Linked DNA regions of Caenorhabditis elegans. The protein of the gene in region 2 interacts with the protein of the main gene of each other region in a biochemical or structural test. Each region holds a gene or a part of one and is shown on either strand. Other genes may lie near its edges.

Region 1 (6,498 bases), on a different chromosome or scaffold from region 2:
AAACATGCACGTAGGTTGACATACTTGAAGTAGGCACGTAGGTAGGCGGACTTGAGTTTGGCTGGCAGGTACAAAGTAGGCGCCTAGGCACGCCTGCCTAGCACAAATGTGTTTGCGAAATTTTCAAGTCCAATTTTTTGCAGCTTTCTCTATCCATCCTGTCCTCGTGAAAAATTGTTTGTATAGATTCGAAGCTCTCAACTAGTTAGTCACTTAACTGAAACCTGCAAAAACAACACACAAATGACCTACTTTTCCGCTTCTCCCCTCTCTTTTTCGCCTAAACCAAAGTCCATCAGTTAGGAGCAGTACACTAACGAACCTAACCCCGGAGAAAAAGAAAAGATGGAGAAAAAGTAGAAAAAAATGTTTTGGGGAATATTATCCTGTGCTTTTCAGAATGAGCTTCTTTTTTTTCTTCACAACTTGAAATATTTTCACTGAAAAATGTTTCAATATAAAATTTTGAAATTTTGCGCTCTCGTGAACATTGAGCATAAAACGTTAAATTTGGTATAAAATTTTGAAAATCTGATTTAATTTTTTCCAGTCTTTCGGCTTAAAAACAGGCACAGGCTTATGCCTACCTACTAGGCTGCCTGCTTCGGCCTACCAACCTACCTATGTACCTACCTACCTAACTTCTTTTTAGGGTTAACTCAAGGTTTACGAATTTTCTTATTTAATTTTTAAATTATCAAAGCCTGAACCAAAGGAAACTGGTTCAAGAGTATTTTGGAATTAGGCAGAGGTTCAGGTAGTCAAATATTTGTGTGCCTACCTAGTCTATCTGCAAAAAAACACAAATATCTTGGTCATCAGATTTTTTCAGTTTTCAAAATTTTAAAATGACTTTTAATATTCAAACAAATTCTGAAATCTCTGGGCTCCGTGTTCGGTAGAGCGCATTTGCACACTTGGCGAGCTCTCTAAACTTGAATTAATTTGGGAATTTTTATGGAATTTAATGGAATTTTTATGGAATTTCTAGACGTTATACTTTCTAGAAGTCGAATAAAAACCAAAAAACAGAAAACAAGAAAAAAAAACTTCCTCAATTTTCGTCTCCTCCATCCACCCCTCCTCCTCAAAAAAAAACCCATAGAAATGTTCAGCTTTACAAAACTAATTGCTTTGTTTTGTTGTTTTTTTTCGACCCGTGCTCCTCCAAAAGCTTCTCCTCCATCATTTCAAGCCTTTCATCTATATTTTCCAAATTTTTTTAATTTTTTTTTCAGCAAAAAAAACGTGACAAAACTGAACTGCTTGATGCAGTGTGTGCTTCGAGGAATTAATTATTCCCGGGGTTAAACAAAAAGACGAACTTTTTTCGCGCCCCGTTACTTTTTTTTCATCTTTTTTGTTTCATTTTCCCCACATTTTCCGCCCCCATTCAACTCATTCATCCGTTTTTCACCCTAATTAGACTTTTTGCTCCTCTTCTGCGGCAGCCGTTTCATCATTGTTTGCAAGCCCCGTTCTGGGAGGGTAGTTCGCATGGGATTACTGAAATGTTGCCACTTTACTTAAGCTTGTCCGGGATTTAGGTCAAATATTAAATTTTCTATAAAAGGCTTCCAAGAAGTTGCTTCCCACACTTTTTATTTTCTAGGATCTAACTTATTTGCAAATTTCTATTGTATCTATTTTTTTTCACACAAAGTTGCATTGTTGAAATTCCCGGGAGAAACCTAGGGTGCCGAACTTCTCGCCTACTTGCCTACCTACTTACCTAGCTACCTGCCTACCTATCTAACAACCTACCTGTCTACCTACCTACCTGCCTAATTTTCAAACCTACTTAAGGCAAACTTAAATCAATGCAAACAGATCCCAAATTTCCGGCAACATTTTTTAAAAAGAATTTTTCAAAACTTCTAGGCCACCAATCTAATTTATTCGATTCTAACAAAGTTCAAAGACCCAAAAATCCTATCTACTGTAATTTTGAAAAGTTCTAAGTTTATTTATTAGTACTCTATTCAACATTTCCAATCATCAACGTCAATAGGAAATTTATGTTTCACCAAACTTCCTATTTTAGTCATCCTTTCCAGTTCTCTGATCGTTATGAGTACACCTAAAGCTTGAAGGAATTGGCATGTTGACGTTGAAAATTCTAGAAAAATTAATTTCAAAAAACGATGAAAAAAGTTTTAGTCAACACAAACGCTGAAACTGAACCGTGTTTTTATTTACACTGCCTGAAATTCTTTTCAAGTTATTTATTTTGCTATATTTTTACACATATATTTTATTCGAAAATATTGTAAATTCTCATTGCCATTTTTCTTACCTATCTCCAAAAAAACCCCAGAAAACCCCATCAATTTTTCCAAATTTCCAGACCTCAAAAAATGGACTCAAACGTGAAATATTTCATGTATGAAATTTTTATTCCATCAATTATCATACTATGTTGTGTCGCCGCATTTCTCAATTTCATGGTTGTCATCTCCCGGTTGTACTGTAAAATGCGATCAGCCTCACTGGAATTGACCTACTCGTTGGCGCTATCTGACACGTGGACAAGCATCGTCATTGGATTTTCCCTTTTTTGGAATAGTTACAAGCCGGTCGTCCTGAATATTCCACATTCCAGTTATTGCTTTCCGTTAACTCTTGAGGTTGGTTTTTTTTGAAATGTGGCTCAAAAAGCCTAGAAATAAAGAAAAGCTAGGCCACTTTCAAAACTTGTTAAAATATTTCTAAAGGTATCCCTACCTATTTTTTGCCTGCCTGTCGCCTATTTTCTGAACTCGATCGGCGTACGCAGGTAAAAGTTTCCACAAGTATCTTGTAATCATCTATATTAATTTGCTCAAAATTCAATACGTGTACTTAGGGAGTAGGCACGCATGTAGGCAAAAGGTAGGCCTAGACGACCTTGAAGGCAAGCAGGCAGGCATTTTGGGCTCTATCCGAAACCCTACTACGCCTGCCTTGTGCCTACATGCATGCCGAGGTACCTACTACCGAAAAAAAAACACCTTTTTTTCATTTTCCGGTTGAAAATGCAATGGTCTCATCAAAAAAGAAAATGTCTACAAACCCTAAATCCTGGAGGTCATGTCCAAATTCAAAAAATTGGCGGTAGGCATGCAGGCAGGGAATAGGCATCACTACGTGAACTTTTCGAAATTCTTGATCTCTTGCTACTCGCCGAGCCGTGAAGAAACTTGATAGGTTGAGCAACACTAGTTCATCTAATAAATAAAATTAAACGCAACAATGCACACAAAATGCAACACTTGAATTGAGTTGACGTGATGTACGGAGGATAAAATTATTCTGTTAGATGGAGAGTGCTCTTCTATTTGGAAAAATAATGAAATTAGGAATTGGTTCAGAAGAAAATCGAATTGAGAAACAAAAAATGATGTTAGAAATGTTCAAAGTTTAATGAATGGTTGTTATTTTGTGAAGTTGAAGTTTAAAGTTTAGAAGTTTTTTGGATTTAAAAAATTGCGGTAAACATGAACAAGAAAGTGACGTCATAAACCTGCCAGTTTGCCGTAATTTCTAGAAATCAATTTTAGAAAACATTTAATTTTATGAAACTTCACAAAACCCCCAACTTTCAGGCATTCCGAACCGGAGGTCTGCTTACCGGAATTTTCCATCTCGTCGCACTGGCATTCACCCATTACATGACCATTAAACGACCATTCGACCATCATAAAGTACTCCCGATTCGAACAATCTACATTATGATCTTCTTTATGTGGGCAACACCGCCAATGGCTCTTATGATCTATTTCGCCAGCAATTCGGGACAGGGATATCAGTAAGTGTTGTAACGGATTTGAAAAGCCTTTGATAGCTGTTCTAGGAACAAAAGCCCAATCTTGAGCCTAAGCCTTAGCCTAAGCCAAAGCCTAAGCCGAAGCCTAAGCCTAATTGTGAGCCTAAGCTTATGCCTCAGCCTAAGCGTAAGCATAAGCCTAAGCCTGAGCCTGAGCCTGAGCCTGAGCCTAAGCCTAAGCCTAATCCTAAGCCTAAGCCTAAGCCCAAGACTAAGCCTGAGCCTAAGACTAAGCCTAAGACTAAGATTACGCCTAAGCCTAAGCCTAAGCCTTAGCCTAAGCCTAAACCCAAGTCGAAGCTTAAGCCTTAGCCTAGGACACAGCCAAAGCCTACGCTTAAATTTAAGCTTAAGCCTAAGCTTAAGCCTAAGCCTAATTAGCCTTAAAACTACATCACAAGTTAAACGTATTCCTATTGTCAGTCAGCAAATTAAATGAAATCTAACTACTATTATACATACAAAACCACCCATTATATTCCATTATTCCAGAAGCGAGAAATGCATGGGCATCAAATTTTACGAGAACTTCTATTTCCGCGCACTTGTCTCTCTTATCATTGTCTTTCTCATCATTCTTACCACCATCTTCTACATCAAAATGTTACAAAAAATTACCGAGGTAGGTACAATGTTCAACAACTTTGACAACTCATATCTTTGTTCATTTAAATGATACAGAAAAGTTTTAAATTACAAAACTATAGAGAAACAAATGAAAATTGTTTTGTTAGTTGGCAATTTTTTGATAAAATCAATGACAACCGAGATATGATTTGTCAAAGTTGGGCAATATTTTAACTTCAACTTCCAGGTCCGTAGCAAAACCGCTTCCAACTCCCAAACCCTCGGAGCATCTGCCCGTGGACGGCGTACAGTTGTGACTGCAGTTCTGATCTTCGGAACTTTCCTGATCGGGTGGATGCCAGCAAGTATCCTGTACATCTTGACTGCAGAAAGTATGCCCCTGTATAATAAGCACAGTGTCTCGATAACTATCATGTCGATCGCCGTGCTGGTCAGTATTATGGCGAAGACGTTGTGTAATCCAATTATCTATGCGACAAGGTAAGAGTTTTTGAGTAGACAGATAGGTATGCATGCCTTTGCGCTTACGCAACGCCTGTATCGCTATGTAAAGTCTGCCTGCCTAGATGACTACTTGACTACGTCATACCAACCTATCTGCCTACACCTCTGCCTATCGCTTATTATAGGCATTGATGTGCCTTCATTTGTGCCTACTAGGTGTCTACTAGGCAGGCAGGTCTTTGATACCTTCTTGAAAGCGTTACAACTTTAAACTCTATATACTTCCAGAATCCCTGAAATCAATCAATTCGTGTTCCAAAAGCTGCTCTACCGCGTCCTACCCGGCCGGAATCCGACTATTCGAAGACAAAGTGAGCTTGAGCCACTGAAAACGAGATGCTCACAACCAAATGCACATTCTGTGATGCTTTAAATGTGATAAGCAGATTTTTATATATATGTACAATTTGTTGCCTTTTCTTGTCCATTTGCTCTCCAACTCTCTATATTTGTGATAATTTATTGTTATTTTTGGGAGCACACTTGAAATTCTGGTTTTTTAATAATAAAGATTTTAAGAAATATATTTTGTGAAAAAATTATTAAAGTTTGAGTTTATTTCTGTCAAGGTAGAGTTCTCTTTCACGAACCGCCGAAAAAAGTATAGCTTGCGGCGGAACCCGGATGAGGTTGGCCGCAAAACTCATTTTTCCGATTTGTCAAACTCAATAGTTATAAAGGTTTTATTATTATGAAGAAAGATTGAAAGCAATTAAACGTACATATAATATTAAAATTTGGGTTGATTTGTGTCTAGTCGGAGTTCAAGAAAACTGGTGGAGGATGTGTGCCGTCATTGGTGGCCTAAGAATTATGTATGACGTCATTTCTCTCCCACGAGATGCAGCTAGAGAGAACTCAAGCACCCGACATCATCTGGGTTCCGCGGGCCGCTTCAAAAGTATAGCAAGTGGCGGAGCCCGGAAGATGTCGGAAGCTCAAACTAAACACAATTTAAACCCCGATTAATTAACAAATTTCTCAAAATTCAATATTTACACACATTATGCCAAGGAGATCATCATTATCACCATATTACACCGTCTTGTGCTTCTTCACCACTTTCGCTTTTCTCGCCTTCTTTGTATTCTTTGCTAGAAGCCTCTTATAAGCCCAAAGCCTCTTCTTGAAACTATCCAAATCCTTAGCTCTCGGAACAACACATGGTCCACGTGATGGATCGGCGTCTACGATCTTCTCGGGACAATACATACTATTCAGCTTTACAGTATCCCATTTGGTAAGCAGCCCGACACGTTGACCGGCTCCGATATCTGCGTCGTTTCTTGCTGGGCAGTAGGGAGTGAGCCGGAACTTTTCACGAGCCCAAAGGGGTACTGTAATGCTCTCCGGGTCGAATGGCCAGGTTAGTTGGATTGGGTTGTAGTCCGGAGTTCCGAGGTTTGGAATTCCGCCTCTGGAATTTTGTGGGGTTTTTTGGCTTAGTTTTTTGAAAATCAGTTAATTTTAATTTTTGTGGATATTCACGGAAAATTTAAAAATTTAATCACATAATAACAGCAACCACCACGTGGCCGCGAGCGAGAAAAAATCGGCCACCGGTTTGTTGTTTGTGGCCGACTTTTTTCCAGTTCTATCGA
Region 2 (3,870 bases):
TTTGATCTTTTCGAGTATCTACACTTGGTTCAAAGAATTCTTCAACTTTTAAAAAGATATGCACGCTTTTTTTTCTTCTTTGAGTGTTGCTCAAAGAAGATTAAATTCCTTTATAAATTTGTGGAGGAGTATTAATGAAAGCCTATCACAAATGTCATATGATTAGTAGCAAGTCAAGTAGATAACTAATAATTTTGCCATTGTTGCCGGGCAACAAAACAAATCAAATAACTCAGATTTCATGTAAAAAACTCTTGGATTACATACAAATTTTCTGTTTCTCAAAGTCTAAATTTAGTTAAAATCTTATCACAAGGTAGTTCAAGGTACTGAATATAGCTACAATTATTGTAGGTAAACGTACTATGTAACATTAGTAGATCTTTGACAAATGTAGGAAAAAAAGGAGGATGTCTACAAGATTAGTAAAGTAGGAAGTTGTAGAAAATATGAGCGTTAATTCGTTTATATGTAGTTCAGTAAAGCGCGGTATTGCAATGCCGAAAATATACTTTTTTGTTCATGATGAACAGAATTTCCAATCCGAAGCGTTAATTTACCCAACATTTTGGGATATATTCTGTAACAAATGAAACATCAAAAATAATTTTGGAGCCATAAGTCAAATGGTAAATTTTTAAGTCACAAATTACCTTTTTAGGAAAATTTGCCGCATACCTTATTTTTAGAGTTTTTCATATCTCTCCTGTGGAGTTTAAAAATATTTTCAAAAAAAAAGAGCATATTGAAAATCTGGATGGACAGATTTTTGTACATTGTTGGATTCTGTGCTTTATTGTGAGGGGCTTCTAGACAATAGTGCAAGGTTAAATCTCTCAAGCTCAGATTTTCTTTGTGACATGTTGAAGATTAAGCTTGCAAGACGGATACCACAATGATCACAATAGGTGACCTTCAACTTTTCACACTGGCACTGTCTATCTCTTGCTTATCAATTTGACAGAGTACAGAAACTCATAAATCTACGCTGTACACGGATAAAAAACAACAGTTAATGTATTGTATTTTGTAAATTTTGGCTCTTTGATTGATTTAAAAAAACAACTTTTTAATTATTTTTTGAGCATTAATTATTTTCGAAAATTACCTATTCTTCTCATGAGCTTTGAGTGTTCCTTATTTAGTCATGCTCCAAAAAGGAAAACGGTTAGACTTTTTAAAGTTGGTTTTTTTGACGTATTATGTTATTCAACATACTTCTAACATTATCCCTATGATTTATTTCGGTATCTGCCGAGCATCGGTTCTTAAGATCCATTTTTTATTTTGTAAAATGTTCTTGACGCGGAGCGAAGTCTTAATATTCAAAGAAATTTTAATTTCGGTTGAACATATTTTACTAGAATTCAATAAGGTTTCATAATTTTCATAATAACGAAATTTCCAATTCCGTTTAAAATTGTGTCTTCTTTCTTAACTTTGGGAAAGGTGTTAAGCATTCCAAGAAAACTTTTTTAAAGCAAATGTGATGTTAAATGTCCTGCTGAGAAATAAAATTATAGGTTTTCGGCACATCAACCTTTAGAAAGTTATGCTCCATGTTCTGCAATCCTCCTACATAAAAGTCAATCATGTAAATAAATAAGGAATCAGGTTTGCCATATAATGGGGAGCACAAGTCAAGAGATCAGCTCAGCGTAAAAAAATTGAATTTGGGTTCTTATTATACAACGGAAGCATTCGAAACTTGATCCAATTATAGCATTATGAAGGAAAAACGCTGTTTTACACATCCATATCAGAATAAATTTGGATTCACTTTCTCAATCCCCCTTTTGAAATCATTTGATTCTGTCTTGTTGTAATCCAATCAAGAGCTCATTTCTTTCTTCTTCAAATCTTTCACACTTTACCTTCGGCTCCGCCCAAATCACCTCAGATGGGCGGTGCACTTGTCCTAGGACTCTCCCGTGCTATATAACCAGCAGAGAGTTGCCGGATTAGAATCATTTGTCTATTCTTTTCTCGCTTGAGGGTGGAGCTTCTAGTCTCACGTTTTTTCAGCTCAATTTTTCTTATCTCCATTCAAATTTAAATCTTACATTGTTTCAGTGGTAAATTTGCTTGTGATATCAACTCAAGATGAGCAAAATCGTCGCTTGCTTGGTCTTACTCGCTCTCAGCGTTATGTGTGTCTACTCTGCTCCCTATGAATTTGTAAGTGAATTTAAAACTTGAAACTTAGATTAAAGTTTCTCCAATATTACATAAAATACCAATAACATTGCAGAGAGCAAAAAGAGCAATCAATCCATTCTTGGATTCTATGGGAAAACGAGCTGTCAACCCGTTCCTTGACTCAATTGGCAAACGATCTTTCCGTCCAGACATGATCACTGAGGAGAAGAGATATTTTGATAGCTTGGCCGGTCAATCTTTGGGAAAACGCTCCAACAATCGATATGAAATGTTGGAAAATTACTATTAAGTGTATTTAAATTATAATCAGATCAGCCTTTTTTCGTATTGTTTTCATTATATTCTGAGTGTTCACGCTGTGTTTACTCCTTCATTTTCAATTTTTAAGACGATTTACTATTTGCGAGATCTTATTAAAATTCCCCTCCACCATTTATTCTTCCGAATCCTTTTTTCCTCGTGTGGTAGTAAGCAAGCAAGCCAGAAAATAAACTCTGTTAATAAGATATTTCTGAAGTGAAATTCACACAAGAATACGTTTGAAAACTCCCACGGAGCGGTAATCACGCTCACAAACCACGGCTAGCTTCATCATCAACTGACTGGACACTAATCCGGGACACAATTGTTCATTGTAAGCACGTACTCTAGCGACATTAATGTTGTGCTAAGATTATATACCAGAAAAAAAGGATTAGCATTTTATTCACCCACGGATCAGTAAACCGGATACGGGTCTTCATGACTTGGCGAGATTATGGCTGGCAACACTGGAAATGCATGCCGACAAAAAAAGACAATAGAGTTCTTTGTGTAAGCTATGGTTTGTTCTGACGCACGGTTCGGGTCAGCAGAACCAACGGCTCTTTCATTGGCCATACCTTGAAGCTACATTATTTGACAATATATCCAATCAGATGACTTTTTCTATACATAGAAGTTTCTTTCGAGTATCTACTGAATAACAAACAATACGAGCAAAATCACACGTTGGCTACAAAATGTATTTTTAATGTTGAGAAGAATCTCGTACACAACGTATATTTCGAAGAACCAGCAAGTTGAAACAGGCTAAAATTATTGCATACTTCACTGAATCCGTGGGAGGGAGTGATATCATTGCAAAATGACAATTTCACTGTTTGCCACAGCGCCATGACAACTTGACAACTCGATTCACAAATTCAATGGGGACACGGTGACAAAATTTGATTAGCTTGGTAATTGAAAAATTGAATTGTAGCTGGAGAAATAGCTCGTTCTATAAAAAATAAGTCTGCTAGGTTTTGAATTAAAAACTGAAAATTTTAGGGAAGAATTTCCAAGCTTCATGCAAAATCCGTTTTTGAATTTGCATTTTCTGACCCGATTTCATGATAAAGTTTATGTTTGACAAAAAATTAAAATATTTTCTAATTTTAGGATAATTCAAGGCTGACTTTGAAAAAAGTTAATTCAAATGTTTTATATAATTCGCCGGAATTTTAAAAATTTTTAAACTATTTTTCTGTCATGACTTCTTTTGTCCAATTTCATAAAACATGTTTCAACTTATCTACAAAATGAATGCCTGTTTGCATGTAATGCAACTTTCAGATCAGTTGCATTATATGTAAGAGTGTGTGCCTAATAGTAAGCCAAATTATTCAATTGATTGCATACTCAATAGCTCATGTTCTTGTGCAAAAATATGTTTTTCTTTTCTAAGAT

What was found.
Region 1: the proteins of nlp-3 (region 2) and npr-42 interact in a test that uses a peptide from one of them, tested with the Caenorhabditis elegans proteins (one large-scale study listed by BioGRID).

What each region holds. Positions count from the first base shown.
Region 1 is NC_003280.10:4,273,857-4,280,354, forward strand, and holds npr-42 (G-protein coupled receptors family 1 profile domain-containing protein), read left to right. Parts: upstream 1-2,345; 5' UTR 2,346-2,357; coding exon 2,358-2,627; intron 2,628-3,584; coding exon 3,585-3,787; intron 3,788-4,297; coding exon 4,298-4,427; intron 4,428-4,619; coding exon 4,620-4,873; intron 4,874-5,125; coding exon 5,126-5,270; 3' UTR 5,271-5,412; downstream 5,413-6,498. Other genes in the region: C01F1.5 (Peptidase M12A domain-containing protein), read right to left, coding at 5,933-6,314.
Region 2 is NC_003284.9:13,176,651-13,180,520, reverse strand, and holds nlp-3 (Neuropeptide-Like Protein), read left to right. Parts: upstream 1-2,073; 5' UTR 2,074-2,103; coding exon 2,104-2,178; intron 2,179-2,251; coding exon 2,252-2,449; 3' UTR 2,450-2,665; downstream 2,666-3,870.